3 linked regions of the Oryctolagus cuniculus genome follow. The protein of the gene in region 3 purifies or fractionates together with the protein of the main gene of each other region. This does not show direct contact. Links are inferred from orthologs where the notes say so. Each region holds a gene or a part of one and is shown on either strand. Other genes may lie near its edges.

Evidence for each region. The genes of interacting proteins can lie anywhere in the genome.
Region 1: the proteins of ATP1A1 (region 3) and HADHB fractionate together in Homo sapiens (co-fractionation; 3 studies listed by BioGRID, with this or other methods). This does not show direct contact. The link is inferred for Oryctolagus cuniculus from reciprocal best matches to the Homo sapiens genes ATP1A1 and HADHB.
Region 2: the proteins of ATP1A1 (region 3) and RHOA purify together in Homo sapiens (affinity purification with mass spectrometry; 3 studies listed by BioGRID and IntAct, with this or other methods). This does not show direct contact. The link is inferred for Oryctolagus cuniculus from reciprocal best matches to the Homo sapiens genes ATP1A1 and RHOA.

What each region holds. Positions count from the first base shown.
Region 1 is NC_091433.1:176,562,780-176,566,867, forward strand, and holds the start of HADHB (trifunctional enzyme subunit beta, mitochondrial), read right to left. Parts: upstream 2,801-4,088; 5' UTR 2,564-2,800; exon of another isoform or gene 2,303-2,563; intron 1-2,302. Other genes in the region: HADHA (trifunctional enzyme subunit alpha, mitochondrial), read left to right, coding at 2,962-3,028. UniProt on the Homo sapiens protein: Mitochondrial trifunctional enzyme catalyzes the last three of the four reactions of the mitochondrial beta-oxidation pathway.
Region 2 is NC_091441.1:99,831,127-99,835,257, reverse strand, and holds the start of RHOA (transforming protein RhoA), read right to left. Parts: upstream 2,801-4,131; 5' UTR 2,524-2,800; intron 1-2,523. Other genes in the region: TCTA (T-cell leukemia translocation-altered gene protein), read left to right, coding at 3,130-3,352, 3,683-3,737. UniProt on the Homo sapiens protein: Small GTPase which cycles between an active GTP-bound and an inactive GDP-bound state.
Region 3 is NC_091438.1:54,052,565-54,056,064, forward strand, and holds part of ATP1A1 (sodium/potassium-transporting ATPase subunit alpha-1), read right to left. Parts: coding exon 3,407-3,500; intron 2,537-3,406; coding exon 2,344-2,536; intron 1,547-2,343; coding exon 1,371-1,546; intron 518-1,370; coding exon 381-517; intron 1-380. UniProt on the Homo sapiens protein: This is the catalytic component of the active enzyme, which catalyzes the hydrolysis of ATP coupled with the exchange of sodium and potassium ions across the plasma membrane.

The DNA.
Region 1 (4,088 bases), on a different chromosome or scaffold from region 3:
GGGGGCGGCTAAGCAAGCAGCAGAAGCCAAGGCTCATTATTGCAACATCATCAAGACACAATGTAATAGCTACCAGCAACCCTCTCAAACCAGGCCAAGTCAAATCCTGGCTCCATCAGAACCGTGTGGCTTCACCTTCCTCTTGGAGCCTTTAGGTATGGATGGAGATAATCTTATTAACCACCTGGAAGGGCTGCTATGAGTGAATACGCAGCCACGTACAACTTGGCCTGACATGCTGCTACCCAGGTATTTGCTTCATCTTAGCAGTGGTTATTCAAATACACTTAGTATCCCTGGGAGACCAGGACACATTCTAACACTTCAGCCCTGAGGGAGTTTACAATTTTGCTGAGAGTTCAGGGCATAAAATGGTGAAGCCAAGAGGGTGATCTATGTCAGAGGCTGGCAAGCTACAACCCATGGGCCTCTAGCTAGCAAGTTGTACACACCTCCAGAGTTGTCAGCAAACAGTATCTTACACTGACAACCGTACCCTTGCAAAGTGCCAACTGCAATCTGGCCCTTTACATAAAAAACTGCTACTCTTGATCTATGTAATCAAGACAGCAGGCAACTGGATACAGAAGATACGTGGGCAGGAGGCAGGCTACAGAACCCCCAAAATCTCATGATGTCATCAAGAAACCTTCTTGGGGTCAGCGCTATGGTGCAGCAGGTTGAAGCCCTGGCCTGAAGCGACGGCAACCCATATGGGTGCTGGTTCTAGTCCTGGCTGCTCCTCTTTCGATCCAACTCTCTGCTATGGCCTGGGAAAGCAGTAGAAGATGGCCCAAGTGCCTGGGCCCCTGCACCCACATGGGAGACCCAGAAGAAGCTCCTGGCTCGTGGCTTCGGATTGGCTCAGCTCCAGCTGTTGTGGCCATTTGGGGAGTGAACCAGCGGATGGAAGACTTTCTCTGCTTCTGCCTCTCTGTAACTCTGCCTTTCAAATAAATAAATAAATCTTTTTTTTTTTTTTTGACAGGCAGAGTTAGACAGTGAGAGAGAGAGACAGAGAAAGGTCTTCCTTCCGTTGGTTCACCCCTCAAATGGCCGCTATGCCCGGCGCCGCACTGATCTGAAGCCAGGAGCCAGGTACTTCCTCCTGGTCTCCCATATGGGTGCAGAGCCCAAGCACTTGGGCCATCCTCCACTGCCTTCCCTGGCCACAGCACAGAGCTGGACTGGAAGAGGAGCAACCGGGACAGAATCCGGCGCCCCAACCAGGACTAGAACCCAGGGTGCCGGCACCGCAGGCGGAAGATTAGCCAAGTGAGCCGCGGCACTGGCCAAATAAAATAAATCTTAAAAAGAAAAAGACCCTTCTTACAATTTACTCAGAAGTGGTTATCCAATTTCTGTTTAAAAGGCTAGGCTCACAGAGCTGGAGAACTCATTTCAAATAAAGATTTATTTTATTTGAATAGCAGCATTACAGAGAGTGGGCGGGGGTGGGGGGGAGGAATGAATCTATCTTCCTTCTGGCTCACTCCCTAAATGGCCACTACACCCAGGCTGGGCCATGCCAAAGCCAGCAAAGCCAGGAGCCCCATCAGGGTCTCCCCGTGGGTGCAGGGGCCCAAGCACTTGAGCTACCTCCTGCTGCCTTCCCAGCCCCATTAGCAGGAAGGTGGAGAGCCAGGACTCAAACTCGAGCCCAAATGGGACCTCAGGCGGCACCTGCTGTGCCACAACGCCGGCCGAGGGCTCACGATCTGACTTCATCTTAAGTTCCCTGCCCTTTCCCACCGCAGAAGCCTCCTTTCGGCGGGGTTCAGCTTCATATCCGAATCCTGGCAATCTGAATCCCGGCTCTGCCAAGAACCAAAAAATTTACATTCTCTCTCCGCGCCTCCCAAACTTCGTTTAGAAAAATGCAAAGGATAACAATGATTTTGGGATCGTGAGAACTAAACAAAATGGTGTCAAGGTGCCCTACAGGAGGCCACTAGTGTCACCTGCTTTTGAGGCCCATTCCCTTTAGAACACGATTCCAAGTCTCCTTTCCAGCAACAAAATAGCTGTCCCGCGATGCAGAGCTCTCGGGAAGAAGTTAAGACTGGGGCCCTGGTCTCACTTCTACCACCTGTGGCCAGAGAGTCACTCTGATCCGCTGGATTCAGTTCCTTCACCGATAAAGTGAGGGAGAGAATGACCAGAGGATCGCCGGGCCCCTCCTGGGTTAGAAAACCCCCGGAGCAACGGATCACCACGCAGGACCAAGGGCTGAGTCAGTTCCTTCCACCCTCATCCCAGCCCTTCCCCGAAATCGGGTGAAGCTGGCGAGCAAGGCACGCACCCCAACACGGCCCGGGCTTGAGGTCCCCACACACGCAAACAGCTCGTCGACTTGCGGTGGTAAATGAAGACGCGGGTGACAGGCTCAGAGCCAACCCAGACCCCTGCCCGATCTGCAGCTGGTGCCGTCTTCCTCCCTCCTCCTCCGAGCTCCCTTCAGCTCGCTCGACCGCGACTCTCCCGGGGGCGAGAGGCGGGCGCGGGCCGGGAGCTCGCCTGCGGGAAACGCTCTAAGCATAGCCGAGCACACGCCGCCGCTCACCTCAGTCGGTGTCGACGCGGATTCTCGCTCCGGGCAAGGTTCGGATCCAAGTACCAAGACTGTGCAGGACCCCGGGGCGGGTCCTGCCTAGAAAGGCCCCCTCGTCCCCGCCCGCGGGTCCGGCAGGCCTCACAGGCTGCCCGCTGCCCGCCTGACTGGAAAAACTCGACCCTCCGCCCCCTCCTCCCTGGGCCCCTGTTCTCCCGCGGAGAAAGCGTTCTTCCGACCCCGTTACCCGGGAACGAAGCGTAGGGTTACGGGGCCGGCGGCAGCCCGGCCTCTGATTTTTAGTCAGGCAGTTCTTCGGCCGCCTTGGCGTCCCTGCCACGGGAAGAAAAGTCCTCTGCCGCTCCGCCCCGGCTAGAAGCGCTTTCCACTTTTCGTCCTCTTAGCTCAAGATGGTGGCCTCCCGGGCAATTGGCAGCCTGAGCCGCTTCTCTGGCCTCAGGATCCTCCGCTCCCGAGGTGAGCCCTCTTTGAGGGTGCCCCCGAACGCAGGGTGGAATTCCGGGGTCTGGGGCGGCCCCGTGCCGCGGCTGCCTGGTGTTCCTTCGGGCCCGCAGTCGCCGGGGGCCCAGCCTTCGTCGGGGGGGATACTGCCCTGGGACCCCGTTTGCTGTGTCCTTGCGGAGGGGCTGTCTCTCCTGCCTCCCGTGTCGGTCCTGCGGGCTTGTCAGGCTCTGCAGCCCCTGGGTTTCTGAGTCCTCTTCACCCGGCCCGGCGCCTTTTCCGCAGGGCTCGCGGGCTGCACTTGCGGGCTCACGCCCCTCTTGCTTGCGTTGGTGTTGGTCTTAGACCAGGTGCGACTAGACTGGGAGCTCCAGGAGCACCCGGACCCAGGCTGTGGCGTCTTTGTGCCCCCACGGGCAACTTGCTTCCTGCTTGGATGTCTTTAATACCAGCCTAGGAGATCGCGGCCGCTCCCCTAATCTTTACATCACAGCCATTTTTTAAAAAAAATTATTTCTACGTTTCAGTAGGGAGCATAACTCTTGCAGTTCTAGTACTTACAGTGTTGATAGAGAGTATGTTGAATTTGAGGCTCTGAACTTACTGGAAGGGACATTTTTAAGGTATGCAAATAGCTAGAGTTCTTAAGGAATAAAATGTTAAGTCGTGTAAAGAACTGGCTCTAGTCTTGTTTGTGACTGTTCCCGGCTAGCCTATATTAACAATATTGTCCTTTTCTCCTCGGGCTGGTATTAAAACGATTAAAGTGGGTGGTTGTCTAAAACCTAGCCTTTTCCTTCCACCCCAAGTCTGTAAGGTCAGGCGTAACTTTTTATTGCGTGTTGTATGTTATGTCAGTTACTCAATTAGACATTTTTACTTTTAGCTTAATTTGTAATATGAATTCCTTTCCTTACTCCTGAACCAAGGGGGAGCATGCTTTTATTATTATTATTTTCTTAAAGACAGGTAGCTGGAGTCTTCCCTTGCTGAAAGGGATTCGTCGAATGCGTGAATCTTGTTCTACTCATGTTTTTAGTCTCCGCAGGACTGTCATGTGTTATTCCAATCGTAG
Region 2 (4,131 bases), on a different chromosome or scaffold from region 3:
CCTGGCTGCTCCACTTCTGATCCAGCTCCCTGCTAATGTGCCTGGGAAGGCAGTGGAGGATGGTTCAAGTGCTTAGGCCCCTGCCACCCACCAGGGAGACCTGGACAGAGTTCTAGGCTTCCCACTTTGGTCCAGCCCCACCCCAGACGTTTTAGCCATTTGGGAAGCCAACCAGCAGATGGAAGATTTCTTTTTCTAACTCTGCCTTGCAAATACATAAATATGTATTTTTAAAATCTTAAAAAAAAATAAAGACAATTAAGAAGACCCAAAGTAGCAACTAACCACTTGCATATCACCCTATCGACAACACACACCTAAGATCTGCCCGTTTTTACTTTCCTAATAACTCACGCCCCCATATACCTAGGATAAACTTTTAAAACTTAACTGGCTGACAGCATAGGAACCAAAACTATGAAAATACTCTAACAAAAACCACCACAACACACATGTGCACAGGGGACTGTTACCCTGATATGTACAGTTCCTTCCTCAGCCTGCCCCTATCAGGAGTCAGCAAAAGAGCCCGCAGTTGTCTGAAAACATCTCAGCCTGACCTCATTAGGCTGGTTCTGGAGCAGCCAGGCCTGGGCCTCTCTCCGGAAATTGGTCGCTTGAGACCCAAACACCTAAAGCCAGGAATAGGCAGCCAAGGACCTTGCAGGTATATTCAGGTATTTCTCACAAGTGACTGCAGCGGAACCATCCCGTTACGGAGAGTGCTGTGACAGCTAAGGAACTGAAATTTGGCTGGCAAATCAATTTTCACATTCTCCCAATCTATGTAAAGTCAGCAAGGTATAAAAGAAAAAACGGTAGAGTAAGTCCCAAAGTTTAGCTGACTCTAGTCCAGCTGTTTGGGAGTGTATTTGAGAATATCCTGCAGAGCAAACAGTTCTGGCCTGCTTCTAGCTAGATAATACCAGTATGATCCTGCTTAATTAAGTCTCTGGGACTCAGTTTCCTCATCTGCAGATGTGATTGGACTACATGATTTTAATTCATTTTAGTACTAGGTCTATGAAGATAATTGATCGATGTTATAATCCTACTCTATTCTCTCCAGTACAGATTTTTATGAGGACAGTAAACCTAGTACTAGACTTTGACTAAAACCAAGTTCCATCTTACATATTTTATGTCCCCAAGAGCCATAAAGTGCTCTACAAAAGTAGATGGAACTAACCTAAACCTAACCTAAACTTTTAGAATTGATTTGGACTTGATGGACTGCTATAGACAACACATTGGGTCCAACTGCATTATGGCTACTAGTGACAATGACAAGTGGCATAGACTCACAGGAGTCTAAAATTCACCTTAGATTTGTAGTTTTAAAGGGTCTCTAGAAATTTATCAAGAGATGCTTCAATTAAGGACTAGTCTTTGTAAGTTTCAGCCCAAACAATGTCATTTGTGCCACATACAACATCTCCACCAACCCAGCCTGGGTGTGTGACACTAAGTGGCTGAAAAAGTCTCACCATATACACCATTTTAAAATATGGAGGTTTGGGGCTTTGACATTTTTTTCCCCTTCAGATTTGGCAGAGAGGAATCTAATCTGATTGCACACCTGCAAGACACATTTACTTCAAAAGATCGTCTTAAAGGCAGAAATAACCGAACAAGTGACCAACAGAGTCTAACATTTTGAGAACAGGACTACTAGGAAACACAACAGGAAGCAACACGGAGGTAAAAAGGATGCAAGCTTCCACCAGAAATGACAAAACACTGCATTTAACGAAATCGACCTGGGGGCAAACAATGCTATTTAATGCAGACACCCTGTAACTGTGTATCCTATCCAAAACCAGGGGCAGATGTTTAGGTGAGTCCCAATAAAAGGCAGCAACTTCCACAGGCAAAACTACCTGCATTTTAATGCAACGTTGTTTAAATCATTAAAAATTTTCAACTGGAAAACACCCTTTTCCGCCCCAATTCAGGCAGCAGTCCTAAGACCTCAACACAAGCTTTTTTACTTAAGACTCTCTCCAAGCATACCGCATCAAAAAAAAAAAAAAAAGGCAAATCTATTCAAAGCACAGCCGGACTTCTGCATAAAACGGTGATTCATGTGCTACAGCAGATGGAAAAGGTAAAATGGAGTTGTAAAGAGTTTCTCTCCCGTTTCAACTCCGACAGCCACGAGCGCTCTGCGGCTGCCGGCTGCGCCGCGCCGCGCGGCCAGGAGCCCCCGCCCAGCCCCGCGCGGCCGTGAGAGAGGAAGCTCCGGGGCGGGCGGGCGGCTGGGGCTCCAGCAGGCCCGGCCGGGCGGGGGAAGGGGCGCTGGAGGCGGCGGGGCGCGCTTCCGGGGCCGGCGCGGGCGGGGCCGCGGGAGCGGGGCGCGGGCCCCGGGCTGGAGTGAGGGTCAGGGGCCGGGGGCGGCCGGGCGGGAGCAGCAGGTGGGGCGCGGCCGCGGCGGGGCGGCGGGGCGGCGGGCGGGCGGGCGGCCGGAAAAGTGCCGGGCGGGCGGGCGGGCCCGGGGCGCCAGGAGGGGATCCTCCCGCTCACCTCGGGCGACGACTCCGAGTCCGGCCTCTTCGCGCCGAGGACGCCTGTCCGCGAGTCGCAAGCTCGGAGACGAGGGCGGGTAGCTGAGGCGGCGACGGCGGACTACCGAGAGAACCGACGGAGGACGGCGGGTGGCGGGCGGGGAGCGCGAGCGAGCGAGGGCGGGCGGCGGCGGGAGGGCGGGGAGCGACGTGCGCGTCCCCGAGCGCCCAGCGGGCTCGAGCCGGCCCTGGTCGCGGCCCCGCGCGCGCGCGCACACTCACATCTCAGCCACGATAGCTCAGGCGCGCGTCCACGCCCTAAAAGCAAGACGCTCAACCAATCATTACAGCCGCGTGGGGCATCACGGGAACTCTGGGGCTATAAAAGACCCGGTTGCTATTTTATACTCCGGGAGTCACTCATGCTTTAAGGGAGTAGGGTGGGGCTAAGTGCGCGTGCGCGGTTTTAATACTCCTCCCTAAACTGCCAACTCTTCGCCCAAGCGAGGTAGGCCCGCCCTGCCTGGTTCTACGCGTGCGCACTAACGGGCCTAGCCCCGGAAGACCTTACGCCTGCGCGGTGTGCACTACGGTGACAGTACCCCGGGTGGGGCGCGGGCCGGTCATGGCGGAGTCTTGGTCTGGACAGTCTTTGCAGGCTCTGCCGGCCACGGTGCTAGGCGCGCTGGGCGCGCTGGGCAGCGAGTTTCTGCGGGAGTGGGAGGCGCAGGACATGCGTGTGACCCTCTTCAAACTGCTGCTGCTGTGGTTGGTGTTAAGTCTCCTGGGCATCCAGCTGGCGTGGGGGTTCTACGGGAACACGGTGACCGGGTTGTATCACCGCCCAGGTGAGGCTCCCTATGAACCTCCGTGAGCTGGCCGCCCCCGCCCCCACCAGACTGAACCATTGGGTTCCTCAGAATCCCCCTAGACTACCAGAAGTCCACCAAGATCGTCAGAACTTAGTATTTTACCCTGACCTATGCTATCATACCGTATCATTTTATGCCAGAATCCCCACCGCTCCGCCCATCACGTTGTAACTGATCTCTAGAACCGTCACCAGACTCAGGACCCCTGGCAGATTCCACTAGCGGCCCCTACCCTGAATTGGGCTGATGCTTGCCCAGATCCCCACCCCCAGTCTACTGCAGCTCTGGCTGTGTTCCTGCCTTCAGGTCTGGGCGGCCAGAATGGATCCACACCTGATGGCTCCACACATTTCCCTTCGTGGTGAGTAGATCCGTCCCCCATCCCAGCCCCATGCATGGCAGGCAGAGAACACGCCCGTGCTGGTGATGGGGTGGGTAGTTGTCAGGGCACAAATCCAGCAGCACAGTGGCCTTGGCAGCAAGCTTCAGGTCTGCATGTAGAGGTCAGGGTTTAGGCTGGGCTGACACCAAGGTCTGGAAAGTCCATCAGCACTTGAGCTGTCCGGGGGTGGGGGGGTGGTACTGTCATAATTTCAGAAAGATGAACTAACAGATCTTCTGGATCCCACTCCCTGTAAGCCTCAGTTGGGAAGGCAGGAGCCGCTGTACTTAGCCCACCAACTGACCTCACTAGGGTCATTTATAAAACTAATCTCTGATGGGGGCTATGGAAGACCCAGAAAACAATGACAACC
Region 3 (3,500 bases):
AAACTGAACAGGTGCTGGGTGACAGGCAGCAGAGCTCAGTGTAGCGTGACATTGGAAGCAATTGCCCAATTCATTGCATGCCTTGGCCAGTTCTGCACTTTGAAGCTCCCCAGGCCTCAGCCTCCCTACTCAGTGTGGTGGAGCCCTGAAACATCTATTCTTAAAAGCCCTCCGGGCACGGCACACCCTTCAGGTGTCACTCACTACGACCTGCTCGGACTGAAGCTCTCCCTAGGGTCTGCAAAGTTGCTCTCTGAGCGCAGGCACATTCCCTACTCAGACAAGCCTGCAAGCAAACCAGTACGGAACCAGGGCACAGATCTCAGACTACCCCTGCCTGCACGTCCACGGCAGGCTGTGCCTCGGGCTCCCCGCCTTACCTGGGGTTCACCTGGCTCACTGGGATGTTGAGGCGGGCAGCAATATCTTCTACGGTCTCATTGCCTTCAGAGATGATGCCCACACCTTTGGCGATGGCTTTGGCTGTGATGGGATGGTCTCCCGTGACCATGATGACCTGCGGTAGGAGACAGGACAGTGTAAAAAGTCTTATTTGCAGGTGGGCAGGAATGAGCGGCAGGAGATTCAGCCGAGTAGCCAAAGGCAAAGACTGCAAACATAAAACCGATCAACATCAGCGAGTCAAAACACAAGCATCGCATTCACAGAAAGCAAACATCCAGCCAAAGACTCGGTGCGTGAGCGCACAACCTATCTGCTTCCCCTTTTACACAGCCACATAAAAATACTCAACCTCTAAAACCAGCAAAAAGGGAAGACGGACACTAGTGGGCCTCCAAGGGGCCACGTATCACTAGTCAGCATTCTCAAATCGACCCAATTTGAGGCAGAGGGCGGGGAGGAGAGCAGGAGGTAACAAGAATTCAAACTTGTTATCGATCCAGTGCTTATACTTGGAAGAATACAGTCTCAAAGAAACAGTGCAACTGTAGGGAAATCATTTCTACGAAGCCTTTCAGGGCAGTATGACTCCTGAGTATGAAAGCCTGGGGACACAAACATCCAACAGGGAGCTGGCAGGACACCTGAGTCACAGTCAGCTACTCGAAAAAGAAGTCAGAGCACACCAGACACCCACGGACCATCAGCTCCACCGAGACCTGAGCAGACGCCATCGGCGCGCAGGGTAGCAGCTCAGTAACGGAGCAGTCCCGGTTGTACTCCAGGCCTTTGCTCTATTCCCTTCGCCCGCATTTCCTCTTTAGGAACGTGGGTTTTCTCTAATCCCTCATCTGCTGTTCAGACCCGCATTTCAGTACTATTTGGTTTCTCTCGTACAACCAAGGCTCTGGAGAAGAGAAGTTAGCCCTCCAGGGGAGAAAAGAGCAAGCGTCCCCGGCGGGTGCTACCTTAATTCCAGCACTGCGGCACTTGCCCACGGCATCGGGGACGGCCGCCCGTGGAGGGTCGATCATGGAGATGAGCCCGATAAAGCAGAGGTTATCGACAGGGAAGTTCACTTCATCGGTGTCAAACTGGAATCCTTCAGGGAACTGTTCGTCTGGCAGAAGAAGGTGGCAGAACCCTGCGAGAGAGCAGGGGCCTGTGAGCGTGTCTACACTGCAGGAGGTATGAGGCTGGTAGCAGCCAGCTGCCCACATCTGCCTGTTCCGGGATGCCACTGCTTCACTCCCCAGATGACCGCAGCGGCCCGGGCTGGGGCAGGTGGAAGCCAAGAGCCTGGAACTCCATCCACGTTTTCCATGTGGGTGGCAGGGATCCATCTGTTGCTGCTTTCCCACATAGATTAACCGGGAGCTGGGTCAGCAGTGGAGCAGCCGGGACTCAAACTGGCGCTCACAGGGGATGTCAGCATCTCAGGCAGAGGCTTGAACCTCTGCCCCAGCACGCTGGCCCCCAAAGTCTAGTTTTACAATCAATGAGTGTTTTGTTTCATATCCATGAATGATACAGAGTCTGAGAAAAGAACCAAACATCTGAAAGTCAGATTCCATTACCAAACCTCAAAGAACTGGGAACTGTTTAACATGGAGAAGACTGAATGGACAGCACTGATACCTAGGCTTCAGAGCCACTCCCTGATGATAGGGTGTTTAGGTCTGGCAAACCTTATAATTACCTGTTTCTGCTACCCCAGGGCTACTTCTCTGCTTACTTGTTCACTTAATCGAAATATGAACCCAAGCACCAGTGTGCAGGGTCCACGCTGGACACCCCAAGGCTGAGTAAAGAGCAGACACCTTCTGAGCCCAAGGTTTATCATCCAGGATCACAATGAAGCCCGGAGTCAAGATCCTGGAGACGTCCCTTCTGTGTCCTGGGATGGCGGCCATGGGCGAGTCAGCAGGTGTGTCTGCGTACCTAGCACTCGCTCGCCGAGGCCCCCCAGCTCCAGGTAGGCGTTCTGAAAGGCGTCCTTCAGCTCCTCGTCCAGGGGCTGCTCCTTGCCGTGCAAGAGGATAGAGCTGCACCGGTCCAGGATCCTTTCTGGAGCGCCCTTCATCACCAGCAGGTGCCGTGGCTCATTGGCGTTGAGGTTCTTATGAATGGACAGCTGGGAAAGGTGATTCAGATGCACACGTTAGATGGCTGAATACGGCAGTCCAGGGAGGAAAACAAAGCTCCACCTACTGTTTAGGATTGCTTTTTTTTCAAAACCAAACCAAACCGAACCAACCAACGCTATTATTCTTTCCTTCTGAACTCTGAATGACAGCAGCACACCTTGGCTACTGCAGAGTCAACGGGCATCATGCTATATACATAAGTTCCTGACACATGTCCTCATAGAAAACCTCCCTCCAGCAAATTTTAGGGGCTGGCGCTGTGGTGTAGCAGGTAAAGCTGCCGCCTGCAGTGCGTGCATCCCATAAGGGCGCCAGTTCGAGTCCTGGCTGCTCCATTTCTGATCCAGCTCTCTGCTAAGGCCTGAGAAAGCAGTAGAAGAAGATGGCCCAAGTCCTTGGGCCCCTGCACCCGTGTGAGAGACCTGGAAGAAGCTCCTGGCTCCTGGCTTTGGATAAGCCCAGTTCTGGCTGTTGCAGCCATTTGGGGAAATGAGCCAGTGGATGGAAGATCTCTCTCTCCCTGCCTCTGTCTCTCTGCCTTTCAAATAAATAAATAAATCTTAAACAAACAAACAAACTTGCATACAAAATGATTGTCACGCCCACACTCCTAGCCTCTCCCCCCAAACCCACCCCCCCCCACCGGATCCTAAGTAAAAATTCCGATACAGCCCAAACAATGGTCTGGAAGAGCATTCATTTATGCCAGCTACTGATATTCAAATAAATTAAGATTTTCCATATACAAGTCAAGGGTCAAATTTAAAGTTAAACCCTGCAAAACTCCAGTAGGTAGGGGACTGCTTCTCCTGGCTTGTGCACCTGCAGCCACCACACGAGCTCCAAGCCCTCCAGACCTGGTACTTGTTGGTGGAGTTGAAGGGTATCTCGACGATTTTGGTGTATCTCTCCCTCATCTCCTTCACGGAACCGCAGCACAGCTCGATGCAT